Linked DNA regions of Cricetulus griseus. The protein of the gene in region 3 interacts with the protein of the main gene of each other region in a biochemical or structural test. Links are inferred from orthologs where the notes say so. Each region holds a gene or a part of one and is shown on either strand. Other genes may lie near its edges.

The links. The genes of interacting proteins can lie anywhere in the genome.
Region 1: of the proteins of Pparg (region 3) and Cdk5, one has a biochemical effect on the other in vitro, tested with the Homo sapiens proteins (3 studies listed by BioGRID, with this or other methods). The link is inferred for Cricetulus griseus from reciprocal best matches to the Homo sapiens genes PPARG and CDK5.
Region 2: the proteins of Pparg (region 3) and Nr0b1 form a complex in vitro, tested with the Homo sapiens proteins (2 studies listed by BioGRID, with this or other methods). The link is inferred for Cricetulus griseus from reciprocal best matches to the Homo sapiens genes PPARG and NR0B1.

Annotation. Positions count from the first base shown.
Region 1 is NC_048601.1:98,098,605-98,102,876, reverse strand, and holds the start of Cdk5 (cyclin-dependent-like kinase 5), read right to left. Parts: upstream 2,850-4,272; 5' UTR 2,757-2,849; coding exon 2,720-2,756; intron 2,143-2,719; coding exon 2,054-2,142; intron 1,976-2,053; coding exon 1,908-1,975; intron 1,809-1,907; coding exon 1,748-1,808; intron 1,641-1,747; coding exon 1,584-1,640; intron 214-1,583; coding exon 118-213; intron 1-117. UniProt on the Homo sapiens protein: Proline-directed serine/threonine-protein kinase essential for neuronal cell cycle arrest and differentiation and may be involved in apoptotic cell death in neuronal diseases by triggering abortive cell cycle re-entry. Interacts with D1 and D3-type G1 cyclins.
Region 2 is NC_048604.1:82,193,678-82,197,974, forward strand, and holds the start of Nr0b1 (nuclear receptor subfamily 0 group B member 1), read right to left. Parts: upstream 2,850-4,297; coding exon 1,670-2,849; intron 1-1,669. UniProt on the Homo sapiens protein: Nuclear receptor that lacks a DNA-binding domain and acts as a corepressor that inhibits the transcriptional activity of other nuclear receptors through heterodimeric interactions.
Region 3 is NC_048601.1:29,399,353-29,403,699, forward strand, and holds the start of Pparg (peroxisome proliferator-activated receptor gamma), read right to left. Parts: upstream 2,918-4,347; 5' UTR 2,901-2,917; coding exon 2,681-2,900; intron 1,483-2,680; coding exon 1,313-1,482; intron 1-1,312. UniProt on the Homo sapiens protein: Nuclear receptor that binds peroxisome proliferators such as hypolipidemic drugs and fatty acids.

The sequences.
Region 1 (4,272 bases), about 69 Mb from region 3:
GACACGGAGGATACTTTTTAAGGTAGGCTCCGGCTTCCTTCTCCCCATCCTACTCACTATGCTCCCCATCCCAGGCTCCAGCTTCTGCAACCTCACTCCCTGTTCCCGGAGAAATACCCTGTTTATGAGCAGGTTCTGGGGCTTCAGGTCCCTATGCAGCACGTTGCGGCTGTGACAGAATCCCAGGCCTTTCAGCAGCTGGAAGAGGAATGACTGGGAGAGGCAGGGAAGAGGGAGTCAGACCCACTGTGTCCTATAGCCCATATGACTTGCAGCAAGTCAAGAAGTCTATCCAATTACTCTGTAATTTAGTGCGTGTGTGTGTGTGTGTGTGTGTGTGTGTGTGTGTGTGTGTGTGTGTCTGTGGAAGCCAAAAGAAGGGGTAGGATCTCCTGGAACAGAAGTTACAGGTAGTTGTGAGCCACCCAATATGAATACTGGGAACAGAGTCTTCTGCAAGAGCAGCAAGTACTCTTAACAAATGAACTATCTTTTCAGCCTCTCATCGAGTTACTTGTGAGACTCTGCTTTGCATGCACTAGGTAGTAGAGGTACAACAGTAACCAAGTTTTCCTTGCTACTCACACCTTTTTTGTTTTTTGTTTTTTGTTTTTCGAGACAGGGTTTCTCTGTGGCTTTGGAGGCTGTCTTGGAACTAGCTCTTGTAGACCAGGCTGGTCTCGAACTCACAGAGATCCGCCTGCCTCTGCCTCCCGAGTGCTGGGATTAAAGGCGTGCGCCACCACTGCCCGGCCTCACACCTTTCTTAACTGATGGTTGGTGGGCCCTCCTGCATCTCCAGTCCATGCTGGTTTTCCCTACATGGCTGCAATTTAGCACACACACCTTGACCATCAACACAAATACAAAGCTATAGTATTACTCAGGACCTGATTCCCTTGGAACCTGGGCCACGGTACTTGGTCTTGGGCCTAGAAAAGTGCCTGGTAAAAAGCAAAACCTACAGCATATATTTGTTTTGTTTGCCTTTCTCTCTCTCTTGTTCTCGCTCACTCTCTCTCTGTCAAGATTTACTTAATTTTTAAATTATGTATGCATGTGTGTAGGGGGGGTATGTGCCCTTGGAGGCCAAAAGAAGGTACTGGATCCCCTGGATCTGGAGTTACAAGTGGTTGTGAGCCACTTTGTGTGGTTGCTGGGAACTGAACTCATCATCTGCAAGAGTAATTAATATGAGTTAACTGCTGAGCCATCACTCTAATCTTTTTGTTTTGTTTTTGCCCTGATGTTTGAAGCAAGGCCCTGCTATGCAGCTCAGGCTGGTTTTGAGATCCTCCTGCCTCAGACTTCCGAGTGCTAAAGTTAGAAGTATTTGCCACTACGCAGGGCTGGTATTTGTTGAACCCATGAGATATTTCTTATGTGCATATGATATCACTGAAATCAGACACTGTGCAAGTCAAAGGAGACCGAATAAAAATGTTCACTAAGACTAGTAGCCCTTGGAAGGCAGAAACAGATTTTCTCTGGTACTCCAGGAGCTCAACCTGTTACTCAAGGAGAGCTGATGGATATCCTAGGCACACCCTAACTCCATAAATCCCAGACACTTCTCTCCTCACCTTCACAATTTCAGGGTCCAGGTCACCATTGCAGCTGTCAAAATATTTCTTCAGGTCCTAAATATAGATGAGGGTGTGGAGCAGAGAACAGAGTTCAGCTTTAGTCTGGACTCCTATACCCTCCCATGAGCACTAACCTCTCCCACCACCCAGCCCTCTTTCACCTGATCACAGAACTCAAAAACCAACGTCAGCTTCTTGTCACTATGCAGGACATCATGAAGCCTAGAGAGAATGGAAGACTCAGACAGATCCCCAAGCTGGCCTCTAGCATCCCAATACAGTCCAGTCTGATGGGGGTCTGTCTCCTCCAAGAGACCTCACCTGACAATGTTTTTGTGCTTCAGTTCCTTGAGTAGACATATCTCCCGGAGGGCTGAACTTGGCACGCCCTACAATGTGCAAGGGGACAGTAGTCACAGCCCACCCCAGACAGGCCCTGCACCTCTCCCCCCATGCCTCTGTCTTACCTCATCGTCATCATCCAGCCTCACACGCTTCAGAGCCACAATCTCATGGGTTTCCCGGTTTTTGGCCTTGAACACAGTTCCATAGGTGCCTAGGGGAAGGTCGGGGGTGAGGGAGAGGATCCTCCTCAACATCTTAGTGTGCAAGGGCAAGTTTTCAGGTGAAGGCTAGGTATGGAGTAGTTCTGTGAGTGAGGATGCTAAGGTGGAGGTCCCTAAACCGGTTCAAGGCTCCAGCTGCAGGGAGAATCTGCCATAAGCTCGGGGGGTGGGGGTGGGGGTGGGTCGGGAAGTATCGAGGAGTCATCTAGGAGAGCGGTAAAGGCCTGCAAAAAAAATGTTAAGGTTGGGAGTTCTGCAGGGAATTGAAGCAGGGGTTCCAGGTGAGGTTTGCAAGTGATGCTGAGGCTAGGGGTGAAAAATGCAGGAAGTGCCGCGGCTAGGAAAAAACGGTCCACAGAGACTGCTAAAGCTAGGAGCAAGAGTTTGCGGCAGATGCTAACACAGGGAGAAGGGCTGGTGTCTGCACCGAGTGTTGGACTCAGCGGCCAGGGCTTTTGCCCAGTGCTGCGGTCGGAGCCTGCAGGTATAGCTGACGGTAAGGGAGCTGGGACTGCAAGCAGGGTCTTCAGAAAAGGACCTTTCAGGAACATCTCGTGGTTCCATTACCTTCCCCAATCTTCTCCAGTTTCTCGTATTTCTGCATCGCAGCGGCCGCGGGGACCCCTGCGGGCCCTCGGTTCTAAGACTCCCGGCCCCGGCGTTGCAGAGGAGGTGGTACCCACAGCTCCAACCCCGCCCACCCACTCCCCCACGCACAGGCTTCTGGGACTTGTAGTTCCGGGGTGGCCATGTTCCCCAAGAACGCCCGTAGCGGAGGGCACGAGGACTACAAAGTCCAACAGGCCGCTGTCGGACTCTATGCAGCGATCAACTCCCGGGACTCGTTTCCACCGCGGAGGCAAACCTAAAACTTCAATTCCCAGGAAGCATCGCGTGTCCGCTTGTCGGGCGTCTCCGCCAAGGCGCGGAGGCTCCCAGTGTGCCCCGCTCTTGTTATTATTCCTTCTCTGTGTTCACAGCCTTTCAGAAAAGGGCCGCTCAGGGACTACGCGTTCCAGAATACAGCGAGGGTGGGGGCGGCTGCGCCCGCCGAGCCTGGAGCAGGCGCGGGACGGCCTAGATCCCGGGCGCTGCGGGCCCGGCTCTGACCTGGTTGGGTGTGTTGAGTCGGCAGCGACCCGCTGACAGCTTCAGCGCCGGTGCCCCCCGTGTCTCCCTAGGCCACCTGGCGACCCCGGGACCGAGGGGGGACGGTTGTGAGCGGTGTCCCACTGCTGGTGACCGCACAGGGGCCAGCTGAGCACAGGGCCGGGCATCGAGGCAGGTGTGCCCGTTAGAGGCCGGTGTGACACACGCCAGACACCCCTCGGTTACGGTCTCCAAAGCCGCGGACTCCGGCGGGGGCCCCGCTCTGACATGCCGAGGCCAGCAGACTGCAGCCTGGGTGCCCCCCAGATCCCAGTCTTGAGAGCAGGCCCACTGGAGTCAGCCAGGGTGTGGCCCACGAGGACTGGCAGGTCAGTCACTCCCCCGCAGACGAGCCACAGACGCTGCGACAGCGGGAGCAGGCAGCCTTTACCGCACCCCGCAAAGGAGTTGATTATAGATTTTCCTGCACTGCTCTCTAATTGTCTCATGATTGCATTCCTGAGGGCTGGCTGTGAACCGGGCGCAAACGGCCCCGGACAGCGTTCCTCCCTCCCCAGCGCCGGGACCAGGGCAGCGCTAACTATCGGTTAATCGACTTATTAAGTCCGAGTGCTTTTGCATAAACGAGATCGTGGTTCACCCACGAGGCAGACGGAATGAAAGACGCATAAAGTGCATCCCTTATCATCTGAAATAACCGGGAATGAAAGACGCATAAAGTGCATCCCTTATCATCTGAAATAACCGGTGCTTTGGCCGAGAAGGCAGGATGCACGACACGCAGAGGTCTTTAAAGTACAAGCGTCGACTGCGGACACGCAGCCTTCCACTCAGCGCGGAGGTGGCTCTGGCCGAGCGAGGAGGAGTCCTCAACGAGCCGTCCCGTTCTCCGTCGGCTCAGGGTCAGGGTCACCCAGGCCTCCGGTTCCCGTGCCATGCTTCCTCCCAGGCAGACGCCAGGGCTTTCTTGGGGATTGGGGCGGGAGCCCCGCGGAGCCGCCCCGATTCCC
Region 2 (4,297 bases), on a different chromosome or scaffold from region 3:
TAACGATAAACAAAAACATCACAGAGTGTAACATGATTCAAAAGCAACTTCAAAACAGATTTGGTTTAAATGATGATATAACTTTCCTTCCTTTTTCTACAAAATTCAACACATGATTATTTTAAAGGCATCATGCTTTAAAAATAATAATCTTGATAGAAAAGAAACATTCCTATTATAGGCAAATAATAAATCATAAAAAGCAACACAATATGGAAACATTTCTTATCTAGATTATAATTCAGATTACAACAGCCCATGTAGTAACATCCTGCATTCTATTTCTATCCTGATACCAAAGGTTTGATCCCACTGAGAAAGTTTCTCTAGGTCTACACAGACTTGTGGTTTGCCAAAGCTTCATTTTGTGAAGGCACCCATTACATTTCACAACACAGTCCCTGGCCCTCTCCTTAAAGTAACTATTTTTTTCTTTGCAATAAAAATTCTTTTTTATGATACAAACTAAGAGGTTTACTTATGGCTATCTCATTCACACTGTTTTGTTTGGTCCTCCTTTCCAACTCCTCACATCTTCCTGTCCCACTCCCCCCCTACTTTTACCTCTCCACCCCCACAAAACTTCTCTTCAATGTAAAGACAGAAAAAAAGGCAGATGGACTCCACAGTTTACATATCTCCTTATCCTTTACTTATCTCCTTATGTTAAAACCCATTTGTATATCTATATCCAATATAAACGTTGTGTATCTTTGTTATATATAAACATAAAGACAAGGGGATGCAGAAAGGTAATCAGGAAAGAGAGGCCACACATTTTACAGATGTTACATTGTGCACAAATGTGGTTGCATTACTATTTAAAAACACACTTTGGCAAGATAAATTCCCATTGAGAGAGAACTAAAAAAATAGAGGAAGAATGGGAAGAATGAGGGAGGAGATAGAGAGGGTGGAGGAGAGGGAGGGAGAGGGACGGAGAGAGAAAGAGGGAGGGAATGAGGTGTGTGTACACGTGTGTGTGTGTGTGTGTGTGTGTGTGTGTGTGTGTGTGTGTGTGTGTGTTAAGGGAGGCAAAGGATGTGAAACAGGGTCAAGGCAATTGGGAAACTACTGGAAATAGCGACTTCTGAAAGCTGAGACCTTGGTCTCCACTTTGAATCTCAATAGTGCAGGAATAACAATTGGCCGAAAGAATGAGAAAACTGTCAGATGGCCTCAAGAATCACCTGAGCCACTTGTATTTGCAGACTTGCAGAATCTGGACTGGGCTGAACTATTACCTTCAGAGGGGAGGAGCTTGGGAAGACAAATCACCCTGCACCCAACACAAGCTCTTCTTAAAGGGAAATTTGGAAAACAGTAACTTAAGAAGAACTTGTGTGAAAAGAGCAAAAACTTTGTTTTTAAGTTATGCTCTTGGACCTCAGAGACGGCTAAACAAGGAAGAGAGAGCCATGTCCCACGAAGATAATAAAAGTAGAGCTCCAAGTAAAAGGCTTTCTCCTCACCCACCCCATCCAGTACCGAGTTTCTGGCAGAAACTCACCCACTTTGGGATGTGTTCATCATTAGCTTTGCAGAGTCTGTCACGAGGCTTCACGTGGGCTCCAACACACCTACAGCCACTGAAAACTCCTAAGTGCCTGTGTGTAGGGGTGTTGCTTTTGTGACCTAGAGAGGTAATGGAAAAGGCTGCCATGCTTACCTGGGTTAAAGAGCACGGCCCCCTTCAGATAGGCATATTCCTTGGTATCGATGTTCAGACTCCAGCACTTGAGAAAGAAGCTCTTTATGGCTTGGATCGCGGCGGCCGAGGGCAGGTGTCCAGCCTCCGCAGTGGACACCATCTGTGGCTGCTCTTTGGCCAGGGGATCTGCGGGCTCAGCACCCTGGGTCTCCTGCTGCCTGGTGGTGAGCGTCTTCTGCAGTACGCTAGGTTCGGAGATCTCCATCATTTCGATGTGCAGGTGATCCTGGGCCAGCTCAAGCATGAGTAGGGGCGCCCAACAGCTCCGCACCAGCACCAGCTGCTGATCCAGGGGCAGTATCTGGAAACAGGGCAAGTACTTGACAAAGCGCAGTGTCTTCAGCAGGCCAGCCGATGCTGCCTCGCACACCACCTGTGGATTCTTGAGAGTCAACGGACGCTGCACTCCAGAAGAGGCGTCCCACCAGAGGGCCCTAGGCTGCTCTTCCGGAGCCCGGGGCAGTTGATCTGAGCTCCCGGGTGTGCCACAGGCTAAGCTGCTCTGCTGGGGCTGCTCTTCACCGCACACGTAGCTGCGGTACAAGAACGCCATGGCCTGTGCGCTCTGCAGCCCCTCTGGGTCATCCATACTCTCCGTACAGTAAGACAGCTGCCACCATTCGCCTCCGCGACGTGCCTCGGACGCTTCCGGAGACACGTGCGTCTGCTTGGCGCTAGTGAGCAAGCTGTACAAGATGCTGCCCTGCTTCGGGTGCTCTTCTCCGCAGAAGCAACAGCGGTACAGGAGCGAGGCTGCCCGCCTGGCCGGTGTCCCCTCTCTACTCACCAGGGGTTCGGGGCTGCCGCAGGCACAGCCCCAGCACGGGGCTCCGAATCGCGCCCTGGACGCCTGGGTCCCTGAGCCTGACTGCTTGGCGCTAGTGAGCATAGAGTAGAGGATGCTGCCCTGGCGCGGGTGGTTCTCCCCGCAAAGGCAGCAGCGGTACAGGAGGGACGAGGTTTGCCCTCCGGGCAGTCCCTCCTCGTCCCCGATGGACTGAGCACCGCAGGCACAACCCCAGCACTGAACCCCCAAGCGCACCTTGGGCTCTACTGGAGCAGCCGCGTGCTTCTGCTTCGCGCTCATCAGTAAATTGTAGAGGATGCTGCCCTGCAACGGGTGGTCCTCACCCGCCATGGCCCGAGGCTCCTACAGCCCGTTCTGCCCAGTGGCTGCCGCCTGGGACTTATTTATACTGAGCGCGCACGCAAGCGCGTCCGCCTCCTCCGCCAGGACAAGGGCGCAGAGGGGGACGCGCCATTGCGCTTGAATGTGCGCGCTCATGACCTCGGAAGTTCAAAGGGGCAAAGAATCCTTAGAAACTGGAAATCCAAGGGGAACTTCTCAGCGCTGGAGATCGTGGACCCTCTCTTCCTTCCTCATTTTATCCCTCCTTCCCCTACCTGGGAAAGAGGAGAGTAGCGAACCTGGGGAAGCAAGTTAGGGCTCTGTTCCAACTCTTGCTATTGGACTCCGATGTCTAATTTATTCCCTTTATCGGAGGAAGAAGTACTTAAAAGAGAAAATATTCCATTTCTATGGAATCTTTGTAAACTTTTATGGAACGATTACAATTTGTATAACTTGCATTTTGTATAATGTTTGGAGAGTGAGATCTCATTTTAAGACCTTGAAAAGTGTAAACCCATACTAGTAGCTTCAGCATCGCACCAACAGTCTGAAACACCTTCCCTTCAGCTCCAGCCAAACTGCCTGAGTGTGAGTTTCAATGAAATCCATCTCCTGGCTATACATATGCACCCTAAAATTGAAAATCATTGGTGGAAGCAGGCAATAATGCTCAGTTTAATTCAATCAACCACCCACTGTGCCCGGGATGCTTGGATCAAGGAGCTGGGGGGCTGCAAACGTTATGTACTTGTAGCTGAATCTTGGGAACACAATAATCACAAGATTGTTACTGTGAGAACCTTTCATGCTTTTGAGAAGCAGAAAGCTGATAACTGTTCCTGTTCCCAACCATCCTAAGATACTATTGACAAATAGAAGAAAGCCTGAATGCTGGCATTTGTCACGGAGCCTCCTTTCACGTCAGACAGACATGAGACCAGGGGCCTCTTTCTAGTCAACCATGCGACTTGTGTCTTAACTTGATAATTCTTACACCCATTAGCTCCCTCACTTTAAGAGCGTAAGCCTTACTGGTCAGGAGAGGGGATTAGAGCACACCAGTTGGTACGGGACCTCTCTCTCTTCCATTCTCCCTCTTGGTTTTCTGTTCCCCCCCACACACACTCCCCTTTCAGTTATGTAGGGTCACTGAAATGTAAGAAAATCGAAGACACCTTCAATTTCCCCCTTTTCTTTTTGACAACTTCATACATGTACAGAATTTACTGTGATTGTATTCATCCCTATTAGCATCTCTGAGTCACATTCTCCTGCTTATTTCACTTGCCCATTCTTCATCCCAACTAGTGTCTGTCCCTCTTACTTCCTTGTTTTTATTATTTATTTATTTATTTATTTATTTATTTATTTATTCATTCATTTTTGTTTAATGCCTATCTTGTATACAGGTAGCCATAGCTTTTATGTTGCCAAGTGTGCAATGGTTATGCAAT
Region 3 (4,347 bases):
GATGGAGAAAGTGGCAGAGGTGACTCTGGCTTGTATCTTTTGAACACATTAGATTGCTTTTGGACTGAAAAAAATAGAAATCACCTAGTTGAATTTCATTGTTTTACAGTTGAGAAAATGTTTGTAGAATGTGGTTAAATATTGGCAAAACACACACACACACACACACACACACACACACACACACACACACACACACACACACGTGCGCGCGCACGCGCGCGCGTACTATCTGCTGGGGGTAAGAATTTAATAAAAACTAGTTTCCCTTTTTGGCCTATTGTCCATCTGGAACCCAGAAGTACTAACACATGCCTGCCTGGTGTGTTTCGTCTTTATTACCCAGGAAAAGCTCAAGTGAAGCAGTACTTACTTCATTCATTTATGTTTTATTTTGTTTGGAGACCAGGCTGGCCTTGTACTCACAGAAATTCTCCTGCCTCTGCTGCTGAGTGCTAGTATTAAAGACATGCACTACCAAACCCCCAGTATTTATAAGGCAAGGCATTCTATGGGCACATGATAAATATTACTTTATCCCTGAGTATGTTAAGATTATTTTAAAACTATATAAAAACATGAATCTATTCATGTATTTTCCTTATAACTGGGGCAGCATATCACTAACTTCCTAAAGTACTCTTTCACAAAGGAAGTGCATAGTTATCTCTTTTCGCATATTGAACAGGCTTAGATTGACACGGGGCCAAGGAAACATAGTACTAGCTTAGGGCTTGGTAGGAACAAACCTTACTAATCCATAATTTTGCTTTTCCTAAGGGTGAAATCTACGATCTTGCACCTGCTCTACCATGGCAGCCCTCACTCTGGTGACCCCATGCCTTTGATTCACAATTTCTATAGCCACAATGTAGAAATACGTTCAATATTATAGCATTAGTCTATGGATCAAATGATACACAAATATAATCTGTCAAATCGTACGCGTATAAGAGATTACATAGCATGGCGAAAACCACCCTAGGGAAATCAGGGAACTTAGGTTCTGATGCTGGCTCACCACTCACTGTTTTTCTATGACATCTTGGACAAGTCCTTTAAAAAAAATTCTGCAAGATACACTTGGATGAGTGTCTCAAGAGTCATTTTGGAGAAGGGGAGGAGAGGCAGAATAACCCCACTTTTATCAGCTTTTCTTAGATTTTTCAAATATTATATTACTTGAAGAATGAGTTCTGCCAAAAAAATTACTATTTTATCTTAATTTTTTTTACAGTGAGTTTGCAACAGGAAATGGAATAGGTAAAATTTCAGAAAATTCTTGGATGATTTTTTTAAATTCTATTTTTACCTTGCATCCTTCGCAAGCATGAACTCCATAGTGGAAGCCTGATGCTTTGTCCCCACAGACTCGGCACTCAATGGCCATGAGAGAGTTGGAAGGCTCTTCATGAGGCCTGTTGTAGAGCTGGGCCTTTTCAGAATAATAAGGTGGGGATGCAGGTTCTACTTTGATCGCACCTGTGTATTGGGAAATTTGAGAAGATGGTTATCTCATGACAAACAATCCTAAAAAGGCACCGTGGCTTCCCATGGTGGCCTTCATATTTTCATGCCATAACGTTACTATCTTGGAGGAGAGGTGCTGGGGAGCATGAAAATGCACTGGTGCTCAGATAGGAAAAAGTAAGACTTTATCATCTCAGGCAAGTCCCAACACCCCAGAACCTCACCTGCACAAATAAATCCGGAAGGGAATTAAGATCGAGGGAATTAAGTCTGCCCCCTCTCTCCCACATACCCTACAGACACTGCTCAGGGTTTGAAGCCATGCAGCTTATTTGGCAAAAGGATGGGCTGCATCTGGCACTCATTCTGTTATTATGGGTTTCATTGAAATGTTGCACTTTAGAAGTAGTTTTAAACCTTCCTTGAAAAAGCAACAGAAGGAACATGGCTGAGAAGATGCCAAAATTGCAGCCTGAGGTGGCAGGTTATCAACAGAGTTGAGTCAAAAGGTGGTTTGTAAAGTGATCTGTGATAGAGAGCAGGAGAAACCTATTGCCTTTGCTGGTAGTTCAGGCCTAATGAATTTCCATATTTGGCCTTAACCCAGAACCACACAGATAAATACAACCACGTATACTATCTATCTAAAGAAAACAACTAGAAATTACAGGAAGTTCTTACTTATTATCAGGTAATGATTGCCAGTGACACAGGGGTGACTCTGGAAAACCAGCACATCAACCCACAAGATAAAAATCAAGGAAACAGCATCACAGAAATGATACTTTATCTTGAAAAGTTCAGTTCAGTTCTGTTTTTTTTTTAAAGTCTGATGTTTGATGGTAATTTACTTAATGGCATGATGATCTATCAATCAGCTACAGTGTTAAAAATGTAAATTTGTACAATGTAAATGTCACAAACTACAGATTAGAAAAAAATATAACTGTAAATAGTAACTTAGTGGTGACCAGTCATTTGGTCTACAACTATGATTTATTAACTAATAAGAAGCTGGAAGAATTCAAAGTTTACAGGATGGACTAAGCCTAAGATACAACTGGCAATGTAATCAGGCTAGACACGCTCCTAAGAAGGCATCAAGAAAGGAAGGAAAGGAGGGAGGGAAGGGAAGGAAAGGGGAAAAAAGGTTGGGAAGAGACATGTGCTGTCTTCATGTATCTCTTAGCCATTTGAAAAGTGAACATACTTTGGTATTCTTGGAGCTTCAGGTCATATTTATAATCAGCAACCATTGGGTCAGCTCTTGTGAATGGAATGTCTTCATAGTGTGGAGCAGAAATGCTGGAGAAATCAACTGTGGTAAAGGGCTTGATGTCAAAGGAATGGGAGTGGTCATCCATCATAGAGAGGTCCACAGAGCTGATTCCGAAGTTGGTGGGCCAGAATGGCATCTCTGTGTCAACCATGGTAATTTCTGAAATGGACAAAAGAACAGACTATGAGTCAAGTTCTGGAGGAGAAAGCAGTCCTCTAAGAATGCATAGAGAGGGAGCTGAGTTCACTCAGACTACCCAGGGAGGGAGGAGTGCATTATGTCTTCCTAGCACCATCCACATGGCTTTACAGTGAGAAGGAAGTTAGCCTTTACCTGAGTAAAGCAGACACCCACAGTGTGTAGCTACATGGAACAAATCCATCTAAATGTGAGCTCTGCTCACATTGTCCTTTACAGCAGGTCATCAGCTGGATCTGGTAATGGCTATTTCTCTTACTTCAAATTTCATCCACTTTTATTAGGATATAGCTGATAAAGTATTTAAATGATTACCATAGCGATGTTTTGATATAAGTATGCACTGTGAAATAATTGTCATCATCAATTTAATTAACATACCCATCACTTTGTAGAATTGTCATTGTCTCTGTGTTGAGAAAACATAAGATTTGCTTCCTTAGCAAATTTCAACTATATGATACAGTATTGCTAACTGTAGTCATCTTGTTGTCTATCAGTTCTCCAGGGCCTAATGGAAACTCTGTCCAGTCTTCCCATTTCCCTTATGCTCAATCCTCAGCAACCAGGAAGGATGTATGGTATTTGCTTTCCTGCTTCTGGCTTATTTCCCTTAGCATAATGTTTCTTTGGGTCATCTATATTGCTACAAAGGACAGAATTTTCCTTTTAAAAGGCCACACAATACTCCAGTATATGTATATGTGTGTGAATGTATATACATGTGTGTATATTTGGCATATGTGTGTATATACATACCACAGAGGGTTTTTTTGTTGTTTGCTTTTATTTGTTTATGTGTCTTAGATTCTTACATAGATTTCATCTTTTGGCTATAGCGAATAGTGACATAATGTATGCAGGAGCATAAAAATCTTGACATAGTGGTTTTAGTTCCCTGGTCATATGTCTAGCAGTGGGACTGCTGATCACATGGAAATTTTGATTTTTCTGAGATCTCCACATGTGTTCTATAATGTCTTCACAGTATATAGTATACATCTCCAAAAAGGTTTCTGTTATTCCACATAATTTCATCAATTTATGTACCAGTCATTCTAACAGGTATGGAACAGTATATATTATTGTAGCTTTGATTTGCATTTTCCCCAGGGATTAGTGATGTTGAATACTTTTTTCATATACCTGTTGACCATTTGTATGTTTTCTTTTTAGAAATAGCTATGATAGCCTTTGTGCATTGTCTTGGACTGAGATCTTTGGTGTTTTGTTACTGATTTGCAGTTTTCTTGTGTGTGTGTGTGTGTGTGTGTGTGTGTGTGTGTGTGTGTGTGTGTGTGTACACATACATGCATGCATGCATGCCCACTCACATATACGCTTGTGCATGTGGAGGTGTCATCCTCAGTAACACCTTTCACAACCTTTGAGATTGGGTC